3 linked regions of the Oryctolagus cuniculus genome follow. The protein of the gene in region 2 interacts with the protein of the main gene of each other region in a biochemical or structural test. Links are inferred from orthologs where the notes say so. Each region holds a gene or a part of one and is shown on either strand. Other genes may lie near its edges.

Evidence for each region. The genes of interacting proteins can lie anywhere in the genome.
Region 1: the proteins of NF2 (region 2) and CD44 form a complex in vitro, tested with the Homo sapiens proteins (2 studies listed by BioGRID, with this or other methods). The link is inferred for Oryctolagus cuniculus from reciprocal best matches to the Homo sapiens genes NF2 and CD44.
Region 3: the proteins of NF2 (region 2) and DCAF1 form a complex in vitro, tested with the Homo sapiens proteins (3 studies listed by BioGRID, with this or other methods). The link is inferred for Oryctolagus cuniculus from reciprocal best matches to the Homo sapiens genes NF2 and DCAF1.

The regions. Positions count from the first base shown.
Region 1 is NC_091432.1:30,785,863-30,789,429, forward strand, and holds part of CD44 (CD44 antigen), read right to left. Parts: intron 3,506-3,567; coding exon of another isoform or gene 3,498-3,505; coding exon 3,369-3,497; intron 580-3,368; coding exon 478-579; intron 1-477. UniProt on the Homo sapiens protein: Cell-surface receptor that plays a role in cell-cell interactions, cell adhesion and migration, helping them to sense and respond to changes in the tissue microenvironment.
Region 2 is NC_091452.1:23,024,485-23,028,051, reverse strand, and holds part of NF2 (merlin), read right to left. Parts: intron 2,496-3,567; coding exon 2,373-2,495; intron 817-2,372; coding exon 599-816; intron 1-598. UniProt on the Homo sapiens protein: Probable regulator of the Hippo/SWH (Sav/Wts/Hpo) signaling pathway, a signaling pathway that plays a pivotal role in tumor suppression by restricting proliferation and promoting apoptosis.
Region 3 is NC_091441.1:98,112,348-98,115,914, forward strand, and holds part of DCAF1 (DDB1- and CUL4-associated factor 1), read left to right. Parts: intron 1-210; coding exon 211-723; intron 724-1,025; coding exon 1,026-1,127; intron 1,128-3,567. UniProt on the Homo sapiens protein: Acts both as a substrate recognition component of E3 ubiquitin-protein ligase complexes and as an atypical serine/threonine-protein kinase, playing key roles in various processes such as cell cycle, telomerase regulation and histone modification.

The DNA of each region.
Region 1 (3,567 bases), on a different chromosome or scaffold from region 2:
AATTGTCAACAACATGACTTCTCTGTAGACTGATGGTATTTCCCTATTCTCTGTGATTATATGGCTCCAAAAATGTCTTTTTCACAACCATCAAAGCAATCCTATCCTTGTCCTGCCTTAAGTGGAGAGAAAAAAGGAAATAAAAAAGAGATGGCCAATTTAAACATAGAGAAACCATCATCTCACCTGTGCTCTTGAGTTTCACAGACATAACTACTTAGAGTAATCAAGTTGAATAGAGTCCCCTACTCCTTCTTCCCTTTCTGAAAAATCATAAAGTCATTGAATCTCGAAGGCACCAAGAATGAAGGTGAAATCAGGTTTAAGGAACACCACAAGAATACAGGCACTGAAGACGGATTTATACTCTGGGCTGAGCTGAGCCACATGGCAAGAAAGGCACCATTCCACCACCAAGCTTGGTCAGGAGTTCACACAGGAAGACAGGTCAATAAAGGGAGATGCCATCATTCTTACGAGTTGTCATTGAAAGAGGTCCCGTCCTGTCCAGGTCTTCCACCAAACCTGTGTTTGGATCTGAAGTGGGCTGAGGCATTGTACTGAGACTGGAGTCCATATCTGAAGGAATTAAATCAGTGTTATTACCTGATTTCCCAAAGCACTACCTGTGAGAGTGGTTTATAGCCCACAGCTGAATTATTTTTATAGTCCAACCTGGATAAGAGGAATGAAAGCATGCACTAGTTCAGGTCTTCACTGCTTTCTTCAAAACAGTGACAAGAGGTAACTGGCTTTCATCTAAGGTGCACTGTAGGAAAGCTATGATTTTTGTTTGTGTTTTTTCAATCTAGAAAAACCTTACATGAGCACATGATGAAACTCTCAAGCTTTGCCAAGAGACAGAAACATAGCTCTTCTCTGACTTGCTCCATTCCACACACATGGCCTTTCTTAAAGACATATGTAATGGGACACATGGAGAAAAGACAAGGTACACAGGTACACATGGACAATTTTGTCACTTCCCCCTTAAGACCTTTCGTGTTAATAAGGCTTAAGACCTTTTGTGTTAATAGCCTTTGTCTCTTTTAGTTTCTTTTCATGTCATAAAGTCAACATGCAAATAAAAACACAAAATCGTCATCCCATGCCACCCAGTTGGAGGCCCCAGGAAGTACATAGGGGCAAGAAATCATAAGCGGTTGATGCCACTGAATCATTCTTTCCACAAACACAACTATGAGGCATCTTTGGAATTTAACACAATGCTGAGTGGTGCAGAAATTTCACTGAAATATTTATAAATGTGCTTTTAATAGTTATCACAGCTCTAGTCTAGTGAAATAGAGGCCAGGCAACTCATAAACACCATCAATACTTCTGGCTCTCCAATTCAAAGTCCACCCACTCTACTCCCTCTGGGGATATTTAATCTGTTCCAAATGACCCCAGAAGATATTACTGGAATATGGGATGCCCACATCAGCATGACAGCTTGCACATGCTAAAAGAAGAGAGAAATGAGATCTTTGGAAGATAAAAATAACTGATTGTACTATCTGATTTCAAAAACGAAGAGAGGTAAGATCACCCAAATCAAAATCACAAATGAATATTCTCCCAGAGAGAATTCTACGTGTGGATGACATATTTGCTCATCTTCACATCTAGTGGAATTCTTACATCCTAGAGTTGAAGCCAATTGCATTGCCTTTGACATAGTCATTCATTTAGCAGACTCTCCTTCTCTTCATCAATGTGAAGATTTATTACTGATTCTAAAGCTCTTTTACTGACTTAGTTTTCTACCCTGGATGTCATTAGAGCTCCCAGTAGCCAGGTACATATACATGTGTACTGGGTCTGTGAGTGTCATTTCAGCCACTCAGTGTAATGTATCCTAACCTAGCCAGGCAAAGGCATCTACTTTTGTGGCAAACAGATCCACCCACTTAGACTTACTCATTGTTTGCCTTTTCTTCTCTCATGCCTTTCCTTATGCAAGTCTTCTTCCTAGAAAACCTTTCCCCACACTTGCTTTCTCTATCTATTCAGGTTTTTTTCCAAAACATTAGATTCAATCTACCTTTCTCTGATGCTCTTTGGAGAAGGGTGGGGGCCTCTGAATTTCTTTAGTATTTTTGTTGCCAACATTCACATCTGTTACTTACTGACTCAGTTTGTCAAGTATATTTGAATGCTAAATATTTTCATTTGCCAGTTAAATTTTAAGTTCTTTGAGAGCATGGGCCATGAATTGTACATCTCTGTGTTACCAAAATGCCTTGCATATTAGAAGAGAATTAATATATATTGTAGTTTAAGGTATATCACATCACTAGTATTTGGGTAGCACATAGTTCCAAAGAAATGAAACTGCAAATTTGTTGGATTCACTTTGGAGATGATTGTGAGGTTACTTAATACCCAGCGTTATGTGCTCTTGAAATTCATTTCAATAAGGATTGTGTTATACATATTTGACGATTTGGGTCTAAATAGCATATTCAGTTCCATGACTGAAAACTCCCATTCCCATATTGGTTAGAATGATTTATCTTCCTTTTGGGAATGTTACATTTTTGTGTAATACTTGCATTTTGCTAAAAATAAATAGAACTCAAGTGACTCTATTCATTGGTATGGTAAGGAACATGAATCATTCAACTTATTAAAGATTAAGAAAGGATGGCTACAACTTACTGCCAAATTTTGAAGATTATCTCAAGTAAGCTGTTGCCTATTTTCATAAAGGAAAATTCCTTTGAAACATAAAAATTGGTGAAATAAAATAAAAAAAACTTAATTCTTGCAAAACTATAACTGGTATCCTTTTTACTATCCTTTTTAAAAATTCTTCATAGAGAAATAGGATAGAATGATATTTAAGAAGACAGGAATTTCATCTTGTGTAAAACTTGTCCATCCATTAAATTCACATTTATTGAGGGCCAAGAGTGGTGTAAATCCTAAATCACTGGGTACTATCTCTAAATGTGTGAAGAGTAAATAATAATGTTTTCTGAGCCTCTGCATTACTTGTTTGGCATAATTACTCATCAAGTTTTGACCTCTCAGATTTCTCTACCAAAAGCAATGTATCAATGGAAATCAGCACTGAATCACTGCTTTGCTCTGTAGTCAGCAGTAAATTACAAAGATGTCTTGAGAATGCTGCTTTTTCCAAAGAAATGACTTTCACGCCTAGGAGCTAGGTCTAGTTCTTAATTCTCCTGTCAAATTCTTCACTTTCAGCCCAGCACTTCATATTCAGATGAATTTGCATATCACTTCTAGCAAGAGTAATTTTTGAGGAAACCAAGTTCCTTAGGAAAGTAGATTGATCTATTTCTAGGAAAATAGCAGATTTCAGAAACATAGTACATAAAATGCTCAGAGGTTATTACCCATGCTTCTCTCTGCTGGATGATCTTGTCCCATTGGATGTGAAACTGGGTCGAAGAAATCAGTCCAGGAACTGTCCCATTGACTCTCTGTTGTTGTTTTTGGACTGGGATGGCTGTTGTGGGCTGAGGCTGTTGTGGTCATGCAATTCAAGTAATTGTTAATTGACACGTGCCAGGAATACAATGAGTTTGTTTTTAA
Region 2 (3,567 bases):
ATGCCAGGCACAGAATGGTGAGGAAAATGGTAGTGACTGCACCTTGGGAGCTGAGGGCCAAATGCAAATGTTCTAAATCCACAGAGCCAGATGCTGTGGGGAATTGCGCCAGTGTGTATCTGCAGCCTGGCAGGCCCAGAACAAGCCAGGGCCTGGAACATCTCTCAGAAGAACAGACAGCAGCCCCAAAGAGGACCCTGCCAAGGAAGCCGCAGGGAAGCGGGGCCCACTGTCCCCCGGAGCCTGAGCACCGTGCCTTTCCCGAGTCCTTCCCAGAGGAAAAGGGAAAGGAACCATTTTTTCTTTCTTTTCTCTCTCTTTTTATTAATGCAAAGAGTCTCCTCATATCTCTCCAGCTAAAAGCAGCCTGTGGCATGCTCAATGGCTCGGCACACACGGCCTATCAGAGAGGCAGCAGCGTGACCAGGGAGGCCCACTGGGCAAGAGAAGTGTTTCAGTGCCCTCCAAACAGCGCCAGGCCCTGCTCATCTGTCAGACACAGATGCAGCTTGGGCACAGTTGCTGGAGAGTTTGGCCTCAGCAGGGGCAGCACCTTGCTGGGCCCCAGCACCCACGACCCCTGACCCCGTGACCTCACCTCCGCTCTGACTCCTCCGCCATCTTCAGCGCCAGCACCTCGGCCTCTAGCACCTTCTGCTCCATCAGGCGCTTTTCCTCCTCTGTCCTAATGGCCGTGGCCTTGATGCGCTGCATCTCCTGCTCAGCCTCGGCGGCCTTCTGTGCCAAGAGTTTAGCCTCCTCCTCCGTGATCTGGGCCTTTTCAGCCAACAGGTCAGCTGTCTCCTCGGACCGCATCTGGTGAGAATGTGCCCCTCAGTGAGAGTGGGAGTCACTACCCATCCTCTACCCAGACCCAGCCTCTGGCCGTCATTTAGCAAGAACCTGAAGCTGGGACTCGGGGGACCCAGCAGCCTGTGGGCAACAGATGACAGGTCATGCCCCCAACGTCTCAATCCATGGGAGCGACAACAAAGAGGGCCATTCTACAGCCCCTACTCCAGCTGAGTCTTATGCATTATGACAGGGAGAGTGTGGGGAGCAACTCGGACTATACTGTTACTGGAATTAGGACTTATTCTGTGCATCTGCTCTCCCACAATATGGCGCTGGGAGAGAAGAAAACAGCTTCTACACAGCTGCCTCCAGTTCAGCCAATAAACTGTAGGACTTGCTCCTGATTGGAGGAGAGCAGCGTACTCGGCGTGTGGGCAGCCGAGTTGGGATTGGCGGAGGAGGACTATAAAGGAGGAGAGAGACGGCATGCACCAGGAACATCTAAGGGAACACTTGTGCAGCCCCCGAGAGAGCCGGCCGGCGGTGTGCTGCTCCCCTGCAGAAGTGGGGAATGTGGCCAGGGGGAACCGCCCTTCCACGGAGGTGGAAGGGACAGTAGCCAACCCGGGAAGAACCAGCAGTAAACCCGGGGAGGGCCGAGCAGACGAAAGAACAGCGCAGGGTCTAGTGTCGTTCCTCCACGAAGAGGGGGAGCGACATAATGGTGCCGTGACTCGGATATGAAGCTTAGGCAGGGTTTAGTGTCGTTCCTCCATGAAGAGGGGGAGCGACATAATGGTGCCGTGACTCGGATATGAAGCCTAGGCAGGGCTTAGTGTCGTTCCTCCACGAAGAGGGGGAGCGACAGGAGAGTGGGAGAGGGGGAGAGAGGAAGAGAGGGAGAGGAGAGGGTTCACTCTCCAAATGCCTGGAATAGCTGGTGCTAGGCTGGGTAAAGCTGGAAACAATGCAGGTCTCCCACACTGGTGGCTGGAACCCAACTACTTGGCCCATTGCCACTGCCTCCAGGGTCTGTATGAGCAGGAAGCTGGAGCCAGAAGCCAGGGCTGGGATGTGGGCATCTTAACTGCTAGGCCAATGCCTGTCCTCCTGCAGACATTAACAAAAGAAAATTTATTTACTTATATTTTGAAAGGTAGTTACAGAGAGGGAGAGAGGGGTGTCTTCCATTTGCTGGTTCACTCCCCAAATGGCTGCAATGGCTGGGGCTGGGCCAGGCCAAAGCCAGGAGTCTGGCACTCCATCCAGGTTCCTGGAGACATTTTTGATTGTTGCAAAAGGAAGGAGAGGAGGGAGGTGTCACTGGTATCTGGCAGAGTTCAGGCCCCATGACCCAGAACGAACAGCCCCAAACAGTGGTACAGAGGCCGAGAAACCTCCCTTTAAGGACAACCTCATGCACGGCACATGAACCCAACCTAAGTCGGCTTCTGCCAACACAGGTAGAAAGGGAAGGCGTGGATTTCTTTGAAAGCTCAGAGGAGGCTCTCACTCCGGGTCTCTGTGGGCGGAGCCCCGGGAGAGCGGGAAGTCCCCTGCAGAACCTTGGAACTCACCAGGGCCTCATTGGCCATCGTTGCTTCCTCCTTCATCTGCAGCAGCCTCCTCTCCAGCTCGTCCCTTGTGCGTTCGGCCTCCTCCCTCATCTGCTTCTCCCGCGCAAGGCGCTGCCGCTCCATCTGGGGTGGGGGAACAAGAGCGGCACCGAGTGATGGGGCTCTAGGAATCCAAGAACACCCCACCTCCAGAACCTCCTCTTTGGTGATCTTTTTCTTCCCTTTATTGTAAGTAGCCAGGGTCATTCCTGCTGCCCACCACCCTCTGTCTTTCTAAGCCAGCTGCGGAGTTAAGAGCGGTGCCCCATGAAAAAAATGCTAGTGAATGAATCCACAGAAAGCGCCCAAGCCCAGTTCCTACCTGGCTAGGAGGCAGCATCCTGACGTGAGGTGTACGAGATAGCTACCTTGTCCGTGTCCCTTTTTCGCTAGGAGACCTCACCCCACTCTGCCCTGTGGCTGACAGGATAAACACAGGTCCCTGCTCCCTGAGACAAAGCCCCAGAAAGAGGCAGCTGGTTCCTCTGGTCAGATGGGCCACTCACCCACTTCGAACCCACACAGACCCTTCCCGCATTTCTGGTTTCATCAACAAGAGCTCTGCTCTTGCCTGGACTCACGGAAGAGGGAAGCACTATGTGTGATGCATTCACAGGGCACACACACTGGATTTCACAGGGGGCAGCTGCAGTCCAGACTCGCTCAGCCCCATGCGGAGGCAACTCCCGAGCCAGGCGGGGAACTCAGCCCCCCTGTCCTTAAGGCACAGCACAAAGCTGCCTTCTGGATCACCGTGTTAATTGGGCCACATGCTGAGCTTAATAAGGGAACAAGCATAGGACAGCTCCGTTCTCTGTGATCCTGGGGTACTAACTGCATTCCAAGAGCAGAAGCCAGAAGTGACCACTGTGCTATTTTCTGCCTTAAATAATTAAAGCACATTTAATTACTTATTCTTGCTTCAGTCTTATCCCAAGCTCTAGTAGCATAAGATTTCTAAGACTGCCGCTTTTTCTAAATACTAAGCCAAAAGGAAAAAAAAAATGCATTGGAACTTGAAAGAATAATGCAATGACAAGCAATAAAACACTGCACTGTAAGTTCTCCAATTTTCTTCTCGCAGGTCAATGAGAAGCTGGGCCAATTTGTTCTCTAAATTTCCATCATGTTACAATTTCCATAAGGCCGATTCTAT
Region 3 (3,567 bases), on a different chromosome or scaffold from region 2:
TGTAAGATTTTATGGGAGCAGAACTTTGAGGCTGCTGTTTATTTCACCAAATTATAGAACCCAAGTCAGTATATTTATCAAATCTAATACTAGACACTGGACTAATGCATGAGTATCCACTTCTCCTTAAGTGGAAATAAGAATTATTATTGAGTCACTTATGTGAAGATTCGTGAGAAATAACTCCTTTTATTCTGTATCTGCTGATAGGTGGCTATAGTGCTTCGAAGGTTGAGGGAGCTACAGCTTCAGGAAGTGGCTTCGCGGCTAGAAAGCAAACGTCCCAGCCCACGGAAGCTCTCTTCTGAGCCCCTTCTGCCTCTGGATGAGGAAGCTGTGGATATGGACTATGGTGACATGACGGGAGATGCAGTGGATGGAGAACAAGAGGAAGCTTCTGGAGACGTGGAGATCTCCTTTCATCTTGATTCAAGCCACAAGACCAGTAGTAGAGTGAATTCAGTAACCAAACCTGAGGAAGGAGGACTGAAGAAAAACAAGTCAGCAAAACAGGGTGATAGAGAGAACTTTAGGAAAGCCAAGCAGAAGTTGGGGTTCTCCTCTTCGGATCCAGATCGCGTGTTTGTTGAGCTGTCTAATAGCAGCTGGTCAGAAATGTCCCCCTGGGTGATTGGGACCAATTACACCCTTTATCCTATGACTCCTGCTATTGAGCAGCGCCTCATTCTTCAGTATTTGACCCCTCTAGGAGAGTATCAGGAGGTAAGCTAATTGGGAAGAGTGCTGTTCTCACTTCAGGACTACTTTATATCTAGTAAATTTTATACATTAATATGTTCTTACTCTACACAGAAAAGTCTTTGCTTCAAACTGGTAAAGTATCATGCAGATCACTTCTGCTAAGATCTGTTTGACCAGAATGGGTTTATATGTTGTTCTTCATAAGGTAGAAGGGGAGAAGGGGTGAGATGTTTCATTTTTTTAATCCTCCTTTGTCATAAGGGAATAGGAAATAAGTAAAAATCAAGTCAAAATTTGAGGCTTGGTTTTGGTTTTCATTTCAGTTACTTCCCATATTCATGCAACTTGGATCACGAGAATTGATGATGTTCTATATTGACCTGAAACAGACTAATGATGTCCTGCTTACGTTTGAGGCCCTCAAGGTAAAGTTCTTAAAATTTTCATTCATTGAATATTTTATTGACAGAGAAACACTTTAACGTGTTTTGGGATATAGCATCCCTGGTTTTTATTGCTGAGGGCATTTCTGTTGCTAGATGTGTCAGAATAGAACAGATTAGATAGAAGTGATGAAGCTTACTGAGTGTCTGCATGGGAATTTAGGGGTCAAGCCTAGAGGGTTGAATGTTGAGGTACAAAGGAAGTCTAGACCTAGGAGTGGCCTCCATTATTGCTGAATAGAAATGGAAAATTACATATACATAGAGCATACAACACTTTTTCTAAATTTTTAACTATATGTGTATTGTACAATGTTAGAGTATCCAGAGAAAACAATATAAACCAGGAAATTAATAAAGAAATAGGGACATCCAAACTCAGGAAGGGCAAATGATTTCGTAGGTTGCAAAGGGGCTAAATGTGGGAAGACAGCTAAATCTAGCTCATCAAGAGAGAATTGAGAGAATTAAGCTGATAAATAATATTGTGACTCTCAGACAGTTCTGTCCAACAGGTAGCTATTGAACAAGGCACTATTGAAATGTGAGTCATTAATAGTACTCCTTAAGATATATAACACGAACAACAGTCCAAGAGAAAATAATGGTGTCATTTATAACATACGTTGACAGTATCATTTACAATACATGCTTCCTTACAAAGTATTGATTTGGGATGCCAGTGTTGCAAGTGGTAGCTTCACCCATTGTGTCTCAGTGCCTGCTCCTAACTTGGTAAACGTTGTTGAGTGCCTTTTATGGGCCAAGTACTGTGTTCAAATTTTAGAGATGCAAAGAGGCTGAGGAAGGAAGGAAGGAAGGAGGGAGGGAGGGGGGATGGGAGGAGGGAGGAAAGGAAGAAGGAAGGAAAGAGGGAAGGAAGGAAGGAAGGGAAAGAGGGAAGGAAGGAAGGGAAAGAGGGAAGGAAGGAAGGGAAAGAGGGAAGGAGGGAGGTAGCAAGTGAGCAAGGAAATCTTTACAAACCTTTCTGGTTTGGTTAAGGCAGACATGTCAGCCTGTAATTTCTTTTCAGTGTTACCAGTGTTAGGATAAAAGAAGGGAGTTGTCTTCTTTTCCTGAGACATGATAGTTTGCAGAGAAGACTTCATAGGAGAGAAAATGCTCTCACTGGATCTTTTAAGGTTTCTTTATTTGAAAAGTAGAGTGTGAGAGAGAAAGAGAGCTATTTCTATCTGCTGGTTCACTCCCCAAATGGCTGCAACAGCCAGGGTTGGGCCAGGCCAAACCTGGGAGCCAAGAGTTTCTTTCAAGTCTCCCATGTAGGTGCAGGGGCCCAAGCACTCAGGCCATCCTCCACTGCCTTCAAAGTGTATCAGCAGAAAGCTGGATTGGAAGTGGAGGAGCTGGGATTCAAACTGGTGCCTAGAGGAGATGTGGACACTGCAGGCAGAGGTTTAACCTATGCCACAGTGCTGACCACAGTACAGTAGCTTCTAAGCCATATGTGACTTTGAAGTACCTGAAATGTAGCTAGTGCATTTGAACTTTTTATTTAATTTTAATTACTGTTAGTGAAATTAGTCACATGTGTTGACTATTGCACTGAACAGTACAGTTTTAGAATTTATTGAAATGCAGTAGAAATGAGGAAATATGTCTTTGATACCCCAGAAATCTTAAATTTGAAGGTGGTCAGGCATAATTGGTTTAGCTGCTTCTTGGGGAAGGACTAGGTCAAAGAGTAAAAGGCTGTGTTAGACCAAAAAATACGAGGGAAGGGACATGAATTGTGTATGAGGATCAGCCAGAGTCTGGGTTTAGAGAGAAATTCTAAAGAGGGTATTTACCTGCTGTTTTTGCCATTGAACTTGGAGAGATCTGTATGGCTATCAAACCATGTGATTGCAAATCTTTGTTGTTTGTCCCTGGAAGACACCTTGGCATGGGACACAGGAAGAATGGCTCTAGCTCTCCTGGGGGCCTGTCCTCATTGGCCTGGGTTCAGAGTCATTTTGTGTTATACATTAAAGTGGTGCAGGAGATTAGGTCCACCCAAAGAAACTAGTGGGAATTAAATGGGAAGTTAGCAAAACATAGAAAACTTTTAAGGATATATTTAAAATGCATTGATTAGTTTTTAAAGTTTACTACTTTTGAAAAATTTGTTCAAGATTGTTCTTTGGAAATATATTGAGAATCAATTTAAAAGAAGGCAAATTTTGAGGTTTCATTAACTGACCCAAAGCTAGAACATAGAGCTGATTATAATAGAGAGGGTTAGCAGCAGTTCATTTGGGGAAGCTAAGTACTAATAAAATCACAGCAGTATTTTTCATTTCTTGGTTTTTTACCTTCTTTGAAACTGTTGGAATCTTAATTGTTAGATGCTTTTTGTCTAACCAATATTGGCTTTGTTCTTTTGTAAGGAGGTAGTTGTCTACTTAGAGAACTCTTGCATTTA